2 linked regions of the Tamandua tetradactyla genome follow. The protein of the gene in region 1 binds, or shares a complex with, the protein of each later gene. Links are inferred from orthologs where the notes say so. Each region holds a gene or a part of one and is shown in the gene's direction. Other genes may lie near its edges.

What was found. Proteins that work in one complex are often made in the same cells at the same time.
Region 2: EIF3D (region 1) and EIF3K share a complex: the UniProt entries of both Homo sapiens proteins name them as parts of the eukaryotic translation initiation factor 3 (eIF-3) complex. The link is inferred for Tamandua tetradactyla from reciprocal best matches to the Homo sapiens genes EIF3D and EIF3K.

The regions. Positions count from the first base shown.
Region 1 is NC_135333.1:28,871,109-28,878,250, reverse strand, and holds the start of EIF3D (eukaryotic translation initiation factor 3 subunit D), read left to right. Parts: upstream 1-4,103; 5' UTR 4,104-4,285; intron 4,286-6,627; 5' UTR 6,628-6,636; coding exon 6,637-6,759; intron 6,760-7,060; coding exon 7,061-7,106; intron 7,107-7,142. UniProt on the Homo sapiens protein: mRNA cap-binding component of the eukaryotic translation initiation factor 3 (eIF-3) complex, a complex required for several steps in the initiation of protein synthesis of a specialized repertoire of mRNAs.
Region 2 is NC_135342.1:25,378,812-25,386,698, reverse strand, and holds the start of EIF3K (eukaryotic translation initiation factor 3 subunit K), read left to right. Parts: upstream 1-4,835; 5' UTR 4,836-4,934; coding exon 4,935-4,993; intron 4,994-6,659; coding exon 6,660-6,758; intron 6,759-7,887. Other genes in the region: MAP4K1 (mitogen-activated protein kinase kinase kinase kinase 1), read right to left, coding at 302-374, 457-499, 634-681, 777-832, 2,173-2,237, 3,016-3,106, 3,227-3,284, 3,464-3,530 and 1 more. UniProt on the Homo sapiens protein: Component of the eukaryotic translation initiation factor 3 (eIF-3) complex, which is required for several steps in the initiation of protein synthesis.

The DNA.
Region 1 (7,142 bases):
CTCATCTCTGGGCACATACTCTGGGTGCCAGGTGGAGTGCTGAGCCCTGACAGTTCAACCCCAAATAATGCAGCCCCACACTGGAGGAGTCCAGAGACTGGGGGTGGGGGTGAGATCTAGGTGGCCCCTAAGTAATAAAACAAGGCATATGACAAGAGCAGCAGTGGAAGGATCTGCCATGGATGCACGGGAGTTCATTCATGCATCCAACAAACATTTCCCAAGAACCTACCAGTGCTAAGCATGATTCCAGGTGCTGGGGATACCACCACACAAAAGACATGGAAAACCTCTGCTCTCAGGAGTCTAACTTTCTAACGAGACAATAAATAATTAAGCAAATAAATGTACGGTAACTTCTGATCGACATAAATGCTAGGATCCCAACAAAGCAGTAATGGGATATGGGAAGATGCTGGAGGCAGGCTGTCTTCTGAGTTTGAGCCCCACCTTTGCCATGTATTCTGTTTGACCTAGAGCATGTAGTGTGATCTTACTGTACCCCCACCTTCCTTATCTGTAAAATGAGGAGAATAATAGTCCTTATCTCACAGAGTTGCGATGAGGATTAAATAAGTTAACGCAAGTCTTGGTACAAGTACCAGGTAAGCGACAAGCTCAATGTAACAATATAAAAAAAAGTTAATGAGGCAGAGTGAAGCAGCTCAGAAGGGTGGTCAAGAAAAGCCTGTTTAGGGACAACCAAATCAATAGGTCAAACCCTCAATCTTGGGGTTTGTTCATATGAAACTTATCCCCACAAAGGACAGGCTAAGACTACTTAAAATTAGGCCTTAAAAGCCACCCCCAGAGAACCTCTTTTGTTGCTCAGATGTGGCCTCTCTCTCAGCCAACACGGCAAGCAAACTCACTGCCCTCCCCCTCTCCTCATGGGACATGACTCCCAGGAGTGTAAACGTCCCTGGTAACATGGGACAAAAACCCTAGAATGAGCTGGGACTCAGCATGAAGGGGTTGAGAAAACCCTCTCAACCAAAAGAGGGAAAAGAGAAATGAGACAAAATAAAGTGTCAGTGGCTGAGAGATTTCAAAGAGTCAAGAGGTTATCCTGGAGATTATTATTATGCATTATATAGATATCCCCTTTTTAGTTTAAGGTGTGTTAGAGTGGCTAGAGGGAAGTGCCTGAAACTGTAGAGCTGTGTCCAGTAGCCATGTTTCTTGAAGATGATTGTGTAATGATATAGCTTTTGCAATGTGACTGTGTGATTGTGAAAAACTTGTATCTGATACTCCTTTTACCTACAGTATGGGCAGATGAGTAAAAGATATGGACAAATAATGGGGGGAACAAGTGTTAAATTGAGTAGGCTGAAATACTAGTGATCAATGAGAGTGGTAAGGGGTATAGGAAAAAAATAGGGGGAACAAAGGTTAAAATATATTGGGTAGATGGAAATACTAGTGGTCAATGAGAAGGAGGGGTAAGGAGTGTAGTATGTATGAGTTTTTTCTTTTTATTTCTTTTTCTGGAGTGATACAAATGTTCTGAGAAATGATCACGGTGATGAATATACAATTATGTGATGATATTATGAGGCATTGATTGTACATCAAGTATGGAATATTCATATGTTAAGACTGCTTGTGTTTGTATGTTGTTTTGTCAATAAAAATATTAAATACACACACACACACACATACACAAAGCCTGTTCGATAAGAACACAGGCCTACATGAATCTAGGAGAAATCCATTCCAGGCCCTAGAGAACAGCAGGTTAAAAGGTAGGAACTGGCTTGGATGTGTTCCAGAAAGAGGAAGCTGCTAGTAAGGGAAAGGGGAGACAGTAGGGTTGAGTTGGGAGAGGGAAGAAGGATCATTTAGGGCCTTGTAGGTCATGGAATGGTGTTTATGACTTTACCCTCAGAGTAATGGTAGGCCACCGAAGGGTTTTAAGGGCAGGGAAGTTGGGGAAGATGAGGCATGCTCTGATTTAGTATAAAGGAGGGTCATTCTCCTGCCATCTAGAGATTGGGCACCAGGAGAGGCAGAAATAGTGGCAGCAGGAGTCTCAGCTGGGAGGAGGAACAGGGGCAAGATCTCTCACCCAAATCCAGGGACCCACTACAAAGAACGAGATGGGACACTCCATGCACTCCTCCCTCTGGTGTGGGCAGGGACATCTGAACCAAAACATGGGGAAAATTATTAAACACTGGGCAAGTCATGGAAGGAAGCTGCAGCAGATGGCCCAGAGGCCCACAGCAAAAAAAGAAAAGACACGATCCAAGCGAATCAATAAAAATACATTTGCCCTTATATTTCAGAACACACTCAATTTACTATTGATATTAATTTTATATCAGCATTTATTGATTGCTTAGTTATGTGCCCAGGGTAATGTGCTACATGCATTTTCTCATTTAATTGTCCAAAACCCCAATCCATTCAACAATCAATTCAACAAATACTACTACCAGACACTCCTCTAGGGAAGACAGACAAAGCCCACACTTTCACGTAGCTTAAACTCTAGAGGGGAGACAGACCCTAAACAAAGAAACAAATATTTCACATGGTGATGAGAACTATGAAGAAAACAAAGCAGAGAAGGAGGAGGGATGAAGGGGAAAGTAGCTATTTTAGAAAGGATGGTATGAAAAGACTTCTCTGAGGAGGCAACTCTGGAGTAGCGACATAGATGGAGGGACCAAGCCAACCATGAGCTGATTTGTGGAAGAGTGTGCCATGTAGAAGGAACGCAAGTGCAGAGGCCCTGCCTGATGGGTTCAGGGTTCAAAAAAGCCATGGCAGCTGGAGCAGTGAGTGGAGAACAGCAGCATATGAAGTGGAAAGGGAACCAAGTACCAGGCAGGCCATGGGAAGACATTCTTATTTCATTCTAAGCACACAATGGGAAGTCACTAGAAGGTTGTGAACGATGCTTTAGCCACCATGTGGAGAATGGGCCGTAGGGAAGCAAGAGTGGGAGTCCAAGTTTGCAGGCTAGAGATGGTAGTTTAAGATATATTTTGGAAGCTGAATAATGAGTATTTAATGAACGTAATGCAAAGGGAAAAGGAGCTACCAATTATGACTACAAGTTTTGCCCTAAACACCACTCACTGGCTGTCACAAACAAAAATCAGAAAAACTAGAACAAGGGCAACTGGGAGAGAACTTATGGAGATAGGCGCTGCTATCACATTCTCATTTTCCAGATGAGTAAGATTTAAAGAGGTTAAATAAGTTGTCCAAGTTCCCCAACAGGTTAGAGGAATTACTAAGTACTTTGACATGCATTCTCTATTTTTACCCCCACAGTATCCCCTTATTATCAGCCCCTTCTTACTTATAAGAAAACTGAGGCTCAGAGAGATGAAGGTCTGATATGTCTTTCAATGAAGGACAGTCTTCCAAACTGTATGATCAGGAAACCAAGGAGGCAAGGCACAAAAGGATCTGGGATTTTAATAAAGTCACACCCAGCTTCTTTCTGAAGAATGTTTTGAAACCGCTCAAGACTCCTGGACAAAATCTATTGGCTGGGAGCTGCAGAAGGGACAACACTTGCCTAATGTAAAGTGTTTCTGAGTCCCCCACTTCAGACTCACAGTTGCTAATTAAATTGCAGATTCCTGGGTTCCTGCTTAGATTACTTGAATAACAATCTACGAAAGTGAGATCCGTAGCCTGCATTTATTAAAACTAGCGCTCCAGAAACCTCTGACGAGCAATAAAGTTTAAAACTGTGTAAGTAGCGTTTGAACCATGAACCTGGCGGCCTCAGCGTCCGCAACTGTAAAAGGGGAGGTTAATAATAATAAATTAATAAACTCGCTCCTCCCGCTTGCTGTGAGAATCAAACGAGACGATTAACTAGAGCAAGCGGAGGAGCCGCGGATCACTGCGTACCGAAGAGGACGGTTGAAGCACTGTGGGATACAGCGCGTCTGTCAGCCTCTCGCAGCCACTATCTTCCATTGCACGGCTGCCACGTCGCAATGCTGAGCGTCACCGGACGCCGTCTGATCGTAACTGTAACCACCCTCTTGCGTCTAGGCGCCTCGGAGAATAACGCCGACACCTCATAAAGAGCAGTGACGAACTTCCGGGACTGCCTTAGCTTTACGGCTCATGCATTCTTCTGCCGAATCCGGAGGAAGATGGCGCACAGTTTACGACAGCGCCGGTTTTGTTTACGGCGCCGGCTATTGCGCGCGCATCTTTCCTCCTTTCCCGGTTCCTGGGAGAGCTGTCGGTGGCACGATCTCTGACCCAGGCCATCTATCGCAATCTGGGCCGGCCGAGGCCGTTGCAGGTGAGCGGGGTCTTCCGTGGGACCCTGCGGGCCCCCGGAAGCGGCCCGGGCTGGGTTCGGCGTTCCAGGGCCTCCCGGAAGAGACCTCTTTTACGTCGGCTCCTGCCGCCGCGTCTTCAGCAGCCCCCAGTGAGGGTTGAGGGGACCCAGCCCTGTGTGTGAGGTCCCTGGCTCTAGGCTCCGCTTAGCTGCCTTAGGCTAGGCAAATTTGGTTGTTGCCCAAACCTGCTGGATCTCAGGGTCTCCCTTCAAAAGTGATCTGAGTTCCTATGAGTTTAATACTGGAGGTGCCATCCTGAGCGGTGTTCGGCCCCTGCCTTGAGGATCTCACAGTTCATTGGTTTCCTTGTGAAATGGGAGGGTAGAATGCAGTTGTCCTCGGGGATTGATGGCGTACGGTCTGTGGTGACCGTGGTAATCTACGCAACACTATGGCCTCCCAACCACCCTTCTGATTGCATTGTTGATGCCTCCCTATCCTGCTCCTGGGGCCAGTACAGCTGCCCTTATAGTTTTGCCTGAACGGCTCAGTTTTCCGTACTCATTCTATTCTCACTATTTTACACTGCCTGAAGCCCAGGTACTACTTCCCATCGCCTGGAGAAGTCTGGTCTGAAAGCCCCAGATATTTCCTGGCTGCTGTCCATCTATAATAGAATGGAAAGAATGCTGGACTTGCAGCAAACAGCCCCCGAAATCAAATTTATTTTGAAACCATGGACAGATCAGCTGCGTGGAATTTGGCTGAGCTTCTCGTTTTTTATTCTCTAAAATTGGGAGAGTGAGGATTACTGATGATAAAGTATCTAGTATCATTTCCTGGCATGTAATTAGGAGCTCAAGAAATACTTACTGGATGTGAATTGTTGCGATTGCCACCCCTTTCCTTCTGAACTCCTCTCCCTGTAATATAGCTTCAGTTCAGAGTTGGAAGATGATGCTCCCAGGTTCATTTCCTGTTGCTGTCACCCAGGAACCCTCAACCTCCCCGTCTTGGGGCCATGAGGACAGTTTGCCAATTTCAGTACAGCTGTGCTCTTTGATTGCTCTCCAGCTTCCAGGAGATATTTGTGTGATGAATTTTCCTCTGGGAAAATGCTTCCGAGTGTTGTCAGGGAGTTACAATGAATAAATGCATAGGCTTTTGATGAGAGCTATAAGGCAAGCATCTGCCGTAGAGTCCCTGGTGTTTGATCTCCTGAGGGGACCTATTGTGGCATTATGATGATGATGGCAGTGGTGGTACAGCAGCACAGTATGGACTCAAGCCAGATTGCCTGTGTTCAAATTCCTTATCAATATCAATATTGCGGCTTTAGCGTTGGTTTTCTTATCTAGAAAGTGGGGATAACACTGGCCCCAACTTCATAGGATTCCTTGGAGGATGTAGTGAATCAATGCATGTCAAGCACTAAGAACAAGGCTTAGTGCCCATAATATTTGTAAATAGTTTTTCATCCATACATAATTTATTTTTTTAATATTTTTATTGACAAAACAACATACAAACATGAACATTCTTAACATATGAACATTCCATACTTGGTGTACAATCAACCACTCACAGTTTCATCACATAGTTGTATATTCATCAGTACGATCATTTCTTAGAACACTTGCGTAACTCCAGAAAAAGAAATAAAAACGAAAGAATCATACATACCACACCCCTTACCCCGCCCTAAAGTTTTTGGTGACCTCACCTTTCTGGCAGCCCTTTTACCTCGCTCTGTTTCCACTTGCTCCATGTAGGATTTGCATCAATAATAGAAAACTAGACAACAGAAGAAAGTCAGATTTCAAGGTATACTGAAGGATTCTTTTTTTTTCTAAGTACTCTGTTCAGAAATATATTTTTGCAAGTCAAATAGTAATTGCAAGGCATTTTACAAAGACAGCATTTTCAAATGTGTTAATTAATATGACTTTCTCAGTGATCCAATGATACAGATAAAACAGATTCCATTTATTTTACAGATGCAGGGACTGAAGCTTAGGGAAGTGTTCTATGCCATGGTGAAGGAAGAACCAAATGTGGTTACCACACTTGAAAAAAATATTATCATATTTCATCAAATCTGAGACACCATTAATTTTAAAAAGTACCATTTTATGTAACATTAAGAAAGTTAAGCTATGACATACCATCAAATATAAGGTGCATCCTTAATTCAAAGATGTTAACTAGGCTAGTAGTCTTCTGAGTTTTAACTATTCAGAGTATTTATAAGAAAACACTGGTAAGAGTTTCACAGTTGAATATTCTGTATTGTGTGTTGCTTTTTGAATTGTATTTTGGGAACTTCCTTCATGTAGCAACTCACATTTTCTGTATTTTTTAGTTTTAGAACATGGCGAAGTTCATGACTCCTGTGATTCAGGACAACCCCTCAGGCTGGGGTCCCTGTGCAGTTCCTGAGCAGTTTCGGGATATGCCCTACCAGCCATTCAGCAAAGGAGATCGGCTAGGAAAGGTACTTGCCTGTCCATGGTCTCTGCATCTTTTAAACTGACGGTACTTCTCTCCAGGAGTTCCTATTTGAGTTTTATTCTCTCACAAGCCAAACTCCTGTGTTCCTTATAGTGATACCAGCTGAGAAAGATTATAACCTCTGTGAGTAATCATAGGAAAACTGGGTGCTTAAAAAGCCATTGTGAACCAGTTCTTCTGATACTCTATCACATTGTGTCCTTTCACTTCAGGGATTTCTGGATCACAAGAAACTTAACTGGTTGATCTATGTTTTCTCTGTCTTCCCTTATGGCTCTTAATAGGTTGCAGACTGGACAGGTGCCACATACCAGGATAAGAGGTATACAAGTAAGTATTCTTCAGCTGCCTGGATCAGGACCTTGT
Region 2 (7,887 bases), on another chromosome or scaffold:
AGGGGAAAGGCAGAAAGAGACGGAGATGGGGAGACCCAGAGATCAAGATAAAAATGAGACAAACACACTTAACCATGTATCTCCAAAATAAAAAGAGACAAGCACAGAAACAGGCAGAAAGAGGCACCAACAGACGTGGGGAAATGAAAAACTCAAGACAGAGCCAAAGATGACAGGATGTCCCACAGAGAAAGGCCAGGGGGAAAGGAGCCAGGAAAGAACTCTCCAGAGAACTAGGTGTGGGGGGGGGGGGGAGCAGCTGCTCCCCCCACCCCCCAGGGGCCTGCCAGGGAGCCCTCACCAGTAGGGCGTCCCAATGAAGGAGAGGCGTCGAGCCAGTGTCGCCCCGATCTGGGCCGAGATTCCAAAGTCAGCTGGAGGCAGAGGGAGAGACAGTGAGCTGGGGTCCCCTGCCCTCCCCCCAGGCCCCCTGCCCCCCTCACCAGCCACACTCACCCAGTCTGACCTCCCCAGCATCATTGATGAGGATATTGGCTCCCTGGAGGCAAGAGAGGGGTGAGAGACTGGCAGGGACCCTCTCCCCAGGCTCCCCTACCCGACAGCTCAACTACACCAAGCTCCCATCCCCTGGGGTCCCCATGCCCCCAATACCACCCCTCTGCCCCAGACCACCTTGATGTCTCGGTGTATCTTCTTCTGTGAGTGCAAATAGGCCAGCCCCTGGGGAGGAGGGTTGACAGGGGAGCTATGAGTACGGTATGAGGGTGGGGTGGGGAGCAGGGCCCTGCACCCACCACCCCCGGTCCTCTCCTTACCTGGAGCACTTCCCGGCAGACATAGCCGATCTGGAGTTCTGAGAGGGAGCCGGTCACTGCAGAGGCACAGGTCACCCAAGGCACAGCGTTGGGTGGGAAGCCAGGAAACCTGGATCCAGGTGTCCCCCGGCTCCAACCCACACTGGTTTGGGGAGTGAGGCGAGACAGAGAGCTGTCTAGCCACAGAGAAGCAGGAACGTGGGGAAACAGAGGCCCGGGGGAGACAGAGGAGATGGGTGCCTGGGGCCCTAAACAGACAGAGACCCTGCCATTGTGGGAGAGAACATTCCAGTGGGGAAGGGAGATAGTACATGAGAGAACCGAGCAAAATAGACCATGAGATGTTACCAAGTGGTGAGAAGCAAAACAAAGTAGGAAAGGACAACAGGAAATAAGTGTGGGGAGGGGTATGAAATTTTAGCCAGGGTGGTCAGGGACGGCCCCTCTGAGAAGATGGTATTTGGGTAACATGAGTTGCCCCACTCTGAGGAGAGTGAGAAGAGCAGGTGCAGAGGCCGGAGGCGGGAGTGGGCTGGTGGGAAAGTGGCGAGGTGGGTGGGGAGGAAAGCGGGGGGAGGAAAGGTCGGTCAGCTGGAGGGGGCCGGGATAGACTTGGGGACCCCTCCCATGAGGTCTTTGGGTAACTCTTCAGAGTTAGGTGATTGCAGGATGAGGTGAGGCAGAGATGCAGAGATGGAGAGAGACAGACAGAGGAGCAGGACAGATCCCAACTGAAGCAGAGAGAAAAAGAGATGATGAGGACACGTGGGAAACAGACATATCTAGAAAGAGAGAGACACAGAAGGGTGGAGAAGGAGGAGAAACAGACAGACAGTGAGACAGAGAAAGGTAGTCAGAGACCAGATATGACAGGCAGGCTGTGTGAGCCACTTCCTGTATGGGGGCCTCAGTTTCCCCTCCCTGAAGACTTCTGACATTTGAAGTCTTGGGCTGGAGGGAGTCAGGCATCAGAAATCCAGAGAGGTGTTCAGAGACCCACTCCACCTTCAAATTCTCCAAGAGTAAAGGGCAGCGTGAGAGAGAGAGAGATGCAGAAATTCATTCACTCATTTAACGAGTCCTTAGGCATCATCTACTCTGAGCCAGAAATGCGGAAATATTCAACCACATGGACAGAAAACTGTCTTGCTTGACAAGAAAATGCAGACACAGAGATGGGGGTAGGTGGAGAGAGGGGATCTTTGGAGGCAGAAAGATTTGGGCTGGGCTGTCAGGTCCTGGAGGGCAGGGCCCAGCCCAGAGCAGGGGGCTCAGTGTATGAACTATGGTCCAAAAAACCTATCCCAGGCAGAAGCAAACAGAGGGAGGCAGGAGGAGACCGAAGGGGTAGCCTGGAGGTACAGAGGGGGCCTGGATTCCTTCTCCCTCCTCTCACCCTGGTAGATGTCCTGGAGAGAACCAGCCCCGCAGAACTCCATGCAGATCCAGAGCTTTTGCAGCCTGCAGTGGTTCAATGACAATAATAAAATGATAATGTCAGGAACACTATTTGCAGGAGAGCCTCTAGGTCACTGTCTGTCTTATGCTAGTTCAACCAGCACACTAAGGGAACAGCAGTCATCTCTCTATCTCCCGTTGCCCGGCAGAGTGAAATTGTTCTGTCTCCATTTTACAGATAGCAAAAATGAAGAAAAAGAGAAGTGTGCTTTCAGAGTGAGCTGGACTCGAATACAGATCTTCAGAGCTCCAAACCCAGGGCACCCTCTGTTGTCCCATGCTAACCTAGGAGACAGGCAGGCATCTCAGAGGTTGGGGAGGTAGGAAGGGGAAAAGGGGCCCAGGGTGCCCCATCTGAGGGACAGTGATCATTGTTGGGGTATCTGGTATATTCATTTTTGGGTCAAGGAATTGAGGAGTTCATATTAATGAAGGAGAAAGTGAAACTCAGGGACTAAAAGGCCAGAATGATGACAGATTAGTTTGAAGAGACTCGAGTTTCAGGTTTAGTTGAAACTATGATGGGATCGTTTTGGGGACCCCTGGTCAGAAATGGGAGTTCTGAATTGGGGGTCAGAACAGGGGGTACTTTGGTCAGAAAACAGGTCTTGGGACTAGATATCAGTAGGGGTGCAGCAGTTAGAAATGGGGGTTCAGGATTGATGGTTAGGTTCTGGTGCTTGGATCAGAAATGGTAGCTCATGTTAGGTGCCCCAGTCAGAAATGAGGGTTCTGGTTTGGGGGCTGGACTGGCTCCCTAGGCAGGGCCCAGGCCCCTCACCAGAGATAGCTCCCATGGTAGGCCACGATGTTGGCATGCCGGCAAGTTTTCAAGATGAGGATTTCCTTCTGAAGGGTTGAGACATCATCGTCTGCGAGGAGGGGGAGAGAAGCAGCAGCAGCTGGAGGATGGGGCAATGGGGGAGGCCATCCTGGTGTCCCAGGAGGTGGGGGGAGGGGAGGAGGAGGGAGCTCCTGGGTCCTCATCTCACCAGGCTCCATCTTCACCATTTTCAATGCCACCAGGTCCCTCGTCACCTTGTCTCGGGCCTTGTAAGGGGAAGTTGGAAGTCATTAAGGCCCGGCTGGCCTGAGTCCTTCCTCAGCATCCCTGAGCCAAGGCCAAGGACCCATGCATACCTTTCCTTTCCCAGGCCTCCTCCCAAAGGTCACTGCTTAGAAGGTGATAGAGAAGGGAGGTGGGGGGTGGGGGGTGAAGGGCTCCTCACCTTGAAGACTTCCCCGTAGGTGCCGCCCCCCAGCCGTTGCAGCAAGTCATAGTGGTCCCGGGGGTCCCTATTAAAGATATCAGGGTCCACGAGGTCCATCCCTGGGGGCCGGAGCTGGGCCTGTGCCCAGGGGCCAGCAGGGCCTCAGGGCTGGAGTGCTGGAACCTCCCTCCCTCCCTATACACCAGCCACCAGCCTTGCATAGGCAGGCTGCGGCCTCAGGCTGCGGCCTCCCCCCTCCCCACTCTCGCTTCCTGCCCCGATGCAGGGCGGTGCAACCGGCTCCACCCCCTGTCCCTTGGGCCTTGAAAGCTGTGAGGGGCAGCTTGCCTTGGGACCCAGGGGACCCTGATCCACCCCAGGCGCCAGGGCTGGATGTAACGAAATGCAAATGATCTTTATTGCGACCGGGGGTGGGGAGGGGGGGGGCTGCTTCAGCACCTCCTCCCCCTATTTTGGGTCAGGGCCATAGCTGAAGCTCTGCTGAATGCTTGAGGGTTTGGGCACAACTTGCAGGTGGCAGATCTGCACAGGCCATGCAATGTACATGCCTGTACATTGGGAAACATACATGCACTTACGTAGTACTCGCCTGTGCTGTTCATAGACCTGCAGACGTAGTACATTCCTGTTTACCTGTGTACACAAATGTGGATGTACCCAGAGCACACGCCTCCATATTCACGCACATGGCCGGGCACTCGCACCCGTAATACGCATTCTAAACATACTTGGGGGGCTCGCCTTCTGCCCCAAGACTGGAGCCCCGTGGATAATGAACACACACACACACACACACACACACACACACACCAGGCCCCGTGGAGAATGAACACACACACACACACCCCAGCCCCCACCAGCCCAACGGGGCTCTCCCCCTGGAGCTGGGGTGGAAGGTGAGGACAGGGTTCAGGACTTCAAACTGGGGTCGGTCTCAGGGTTCTGCCTCAAGTGCCCAGGCCTCACGCATGGGCGACCTCAAAGCGTACAGCCTTTGAGAGTTACCCCAGAGGGAGAGCATCAACGTATAATCCCACAGGGTTTTGTGAATTCACCGCCACGAGCAAAACGACGAGCTCGCAAACCATCAGAGTTCCGTCTCCTTCCGGGAGAAGTACTTGAGCACAGACGCACGCGCTCCGAGACCTGGAACGCGAGGCCCGGGAAAAGCCTAGCCCCGCCTTCCCGTCCACAGAGGGCGCCTGCGCACTAGGGTAGAGTAAGCTTTTTGTCATGCTACTGGTCCAAGCGCTGGAGGAGCGAATGCGCACGCGCCATAAACGCGTGCTGAGAAGAAGTCACGTGGTAGCTGAAAAGCGTGGCGACCGCTGCAACAATCCTGAGAGGGGGCGCGGTGAAACAACAAAACGTATTTCCGCTTCCGCAACCTCTTCCGCTTCCGGCCCTTGAGGACGCTGCACGGGTTCTGACTTGGGTTCAATTGCTGGTGTGGGAAACGGCGGTAATCATGGCGATGTTTGAACAGATGAGAGCGAACGTGGGCAAGTTGCTCAAGGGTATCGACAGGTCTGAGCATGGTCGGAGGGAGCGCTTCTGGCCAGGCGGGGGGGAGGAGAGGATTTTCCAGAGACATCGAGGGGTAGTCAGGGTGCCTGGCCGGTTCTGGGGTGGTGTCTCCCCGTCAGTTTAAGTGTCTGTGTATGTGTAAGAATTCATTCTGAAGGAGGATATTTCTAAGGAAATAGCGCTGCGAAGAACCTAGAGGCAAGAGAGAACCTTGTCTATGACTCATCTCCCCCAACTTGATTGCCTTCAGGTCTCCTCGCCTTGTTCCTCAGCCTTCCCTCTCTCAGCACCCCCAGCCTCCTGTCTCTTAGCTCCTCATTCTCAGTGTCTTTCTCAATGCCTCTTAGTCTCGCTCCTCTTTCTACCTCATGTTACTTATTCAACATATGTTCACAGAAATATGTTCTGTCAGTGGAGGGCGATACTAGGGATCCAGCGGTGACCAAGAGAGCCGCTCACCCTGGGTTCATGAAGTTCCTGGTCCAGAGGCGAGCCAGAACCACAGTAGAAAGTGATCGCTGGAAATGGACAGGACTCTGATGGGGAAGCGAAGGCCAGGTTGAGTCTGATGGCTCTGATGCGGGGTAATACAGACAGGAGTGAGGGCTGGAGTGGGAAAGCACAGGCAGAGGTAGAGGATGGGATGGGGAGAACTCAGGGGGCTGTGGGAATCTGAGGTAGAGGAGACATCTGACTCCGCCTGGGTCAGGCGAGGCTTTTTAAGGTGGTGAAGTCAAAGTTAAGACCTGGAAAATGAGTGGAAGTAAAGTAAATGAAGAGGGATAGGGAAAGACTAGAGCCAGATAAGAGTGGGAAGAATGATGTTCCAGGTGGAGGAAACATGTCAAAGACTCTGAGATGAGATGAGCTTAGTGATTTTAGGAGTTGAAAGACTTTTTTTTTTTAATATATGTTGTATGGCTGGGTCACACTTCGTTATTTTTCCATGTGAATATCCCATTATTGCAGCACCCTTTGTTGAATTTTTGTTTGCTTATTTTTTTGATTGTTTATTATGCTTGTTTTTGGAAAGTGCATGGGCCAGGAATCAAACCCGGGTCTCCCACATGTCAGGCGAAAATTACACCATTGAACTATCCTTGCACTCTCAAAAGCCATTCATTTATTACAGTTAGGCTAAAATGTGGAGTGAGAGTCAGAAGTGGTGAAAGATGGAACCAACTACATTGCAAGGGCCCAGATCATGGAGGGAAAACATGGGGACCATAGAATGACTTTATGTAGATGAACCTGGTCGTATCTGTGCTTTAGAAAAATCCCTCTGGCTGTTGTATGGAGAATGGAGTCAGGGTTGAATCTGGGGAAAGGTGTAAGACTAGGTAGGAAAGGATGGAGCTGGAGCAGAGTAAGTGGGATTCTGAGAAGGGAAGGAAAGGGTGGGTAATAGAGATGTTTGGGAGGCCAAACACACAGACTGCAGGGACTGATGGGCTGAGGGGGGGTGGCGATGGGGCATCCAGGGATCCGTTGGGATCTGGAGCATAGCAGAAAGTCTGAGCTAGATTTTACTAGAGGTTATAATGCTAATTCAACATTGGAGTGTGCCAGGTGCTCAGTGCCAGATTTAGAAGGAAGGACTAAAGGGCCCCATAAAGTGGCTTCAGCTCTGTCTCCTTATTACTCACCTATTTTCTTCCTCTTTTAGATACAATCCTGAGAATCTGGCCACTCTGGAGCGCTATGTAGAGACGCAGGCCAAGGAAAATGCTTATGATCTGGAAGCCAACCTAGCTGTCCTGAAGCTGTGAGTATCTGCCCCCACTGCCACTCCTGTGCCAGCAGAACGGTACCACCCCCAAAACAGGGTAGGGCTGAGAGGGTTAACCTGTAAGATATGGCTTTTCTTGGTTTGCAAGACTAGGAAGCTACAGAAGTTGGAGGGGGGTTGGTGGGGTGGGGGGGGTACTTATAAAACATTAATTGCAAAACACATTACAAGATAGTATGTAAAATAAATATACAGTTTAACAAATAAAAGCAAATACCCATGTAATCAATCATATTGCAAAATCAAGTGCTGCCAGTGCCCTCAGAGCCCATGTGCTCTATACCAGCCAAACCCCTACCCCGATTTTGGTAACTACTCACATGGCCTGGTTTTCTGTGATAGTTGACTGCATATGCATGTATCCTGATCAATTTAGCTTAGTTTTCCCTGCTTTGAACTTAACATAAATAGAATTCTGCAGCATGATGTGTCTGCCATCTTCTGCTCAAAACTGGGATTGTGAGAACCATCCTTTTTTTGTGTGTGTGGTGTATGTGACTGCTGTTTGTTAATTATCATTGCTGGATAATACTCCACTGTGTGACTCTGTCCTGCTTATCTGTTCTCTTATTGATGGACATTTCAGTTCTTCCCTCTTGGGAGCTTTCTTGACATACTACCAGCTGTGTAATTGTTTTTTTAATTGATAAATCTTCACACACACATGGTTATTCATGGTATACAATCAGTTGCTTACAATATCATCACGTAGTTGTGTATTCATCACCATGATCATTTTCAGAACATTTGTATCACTCCAGAAAAAGAAATTGGAAAAAAGACCTCCCTCTCATTAACCACCAATATTTCCATCTACTCACTTTATTTTACTCCTTATCTGCCATTAATGCATATTTTTTTTACTCATCTGTTCATACCCTGGATTAAAGAAGCATCAGACACGAGATTTACACAGTCACAGTCACATTGTTAATCTTACATCTTTATACAGTTGCCTTGGAGAATTGAGGCTACTAGAACACAGCTCAACAGTTTCAGTTACTTCCCTCCAGCCACTCCAATATACCATAAACTAAAAAGGGATATCTGTCTAATGCATAAGAATAACCTCCAGGTAATCTCTTGATTCTGTTTGCACTCTCTC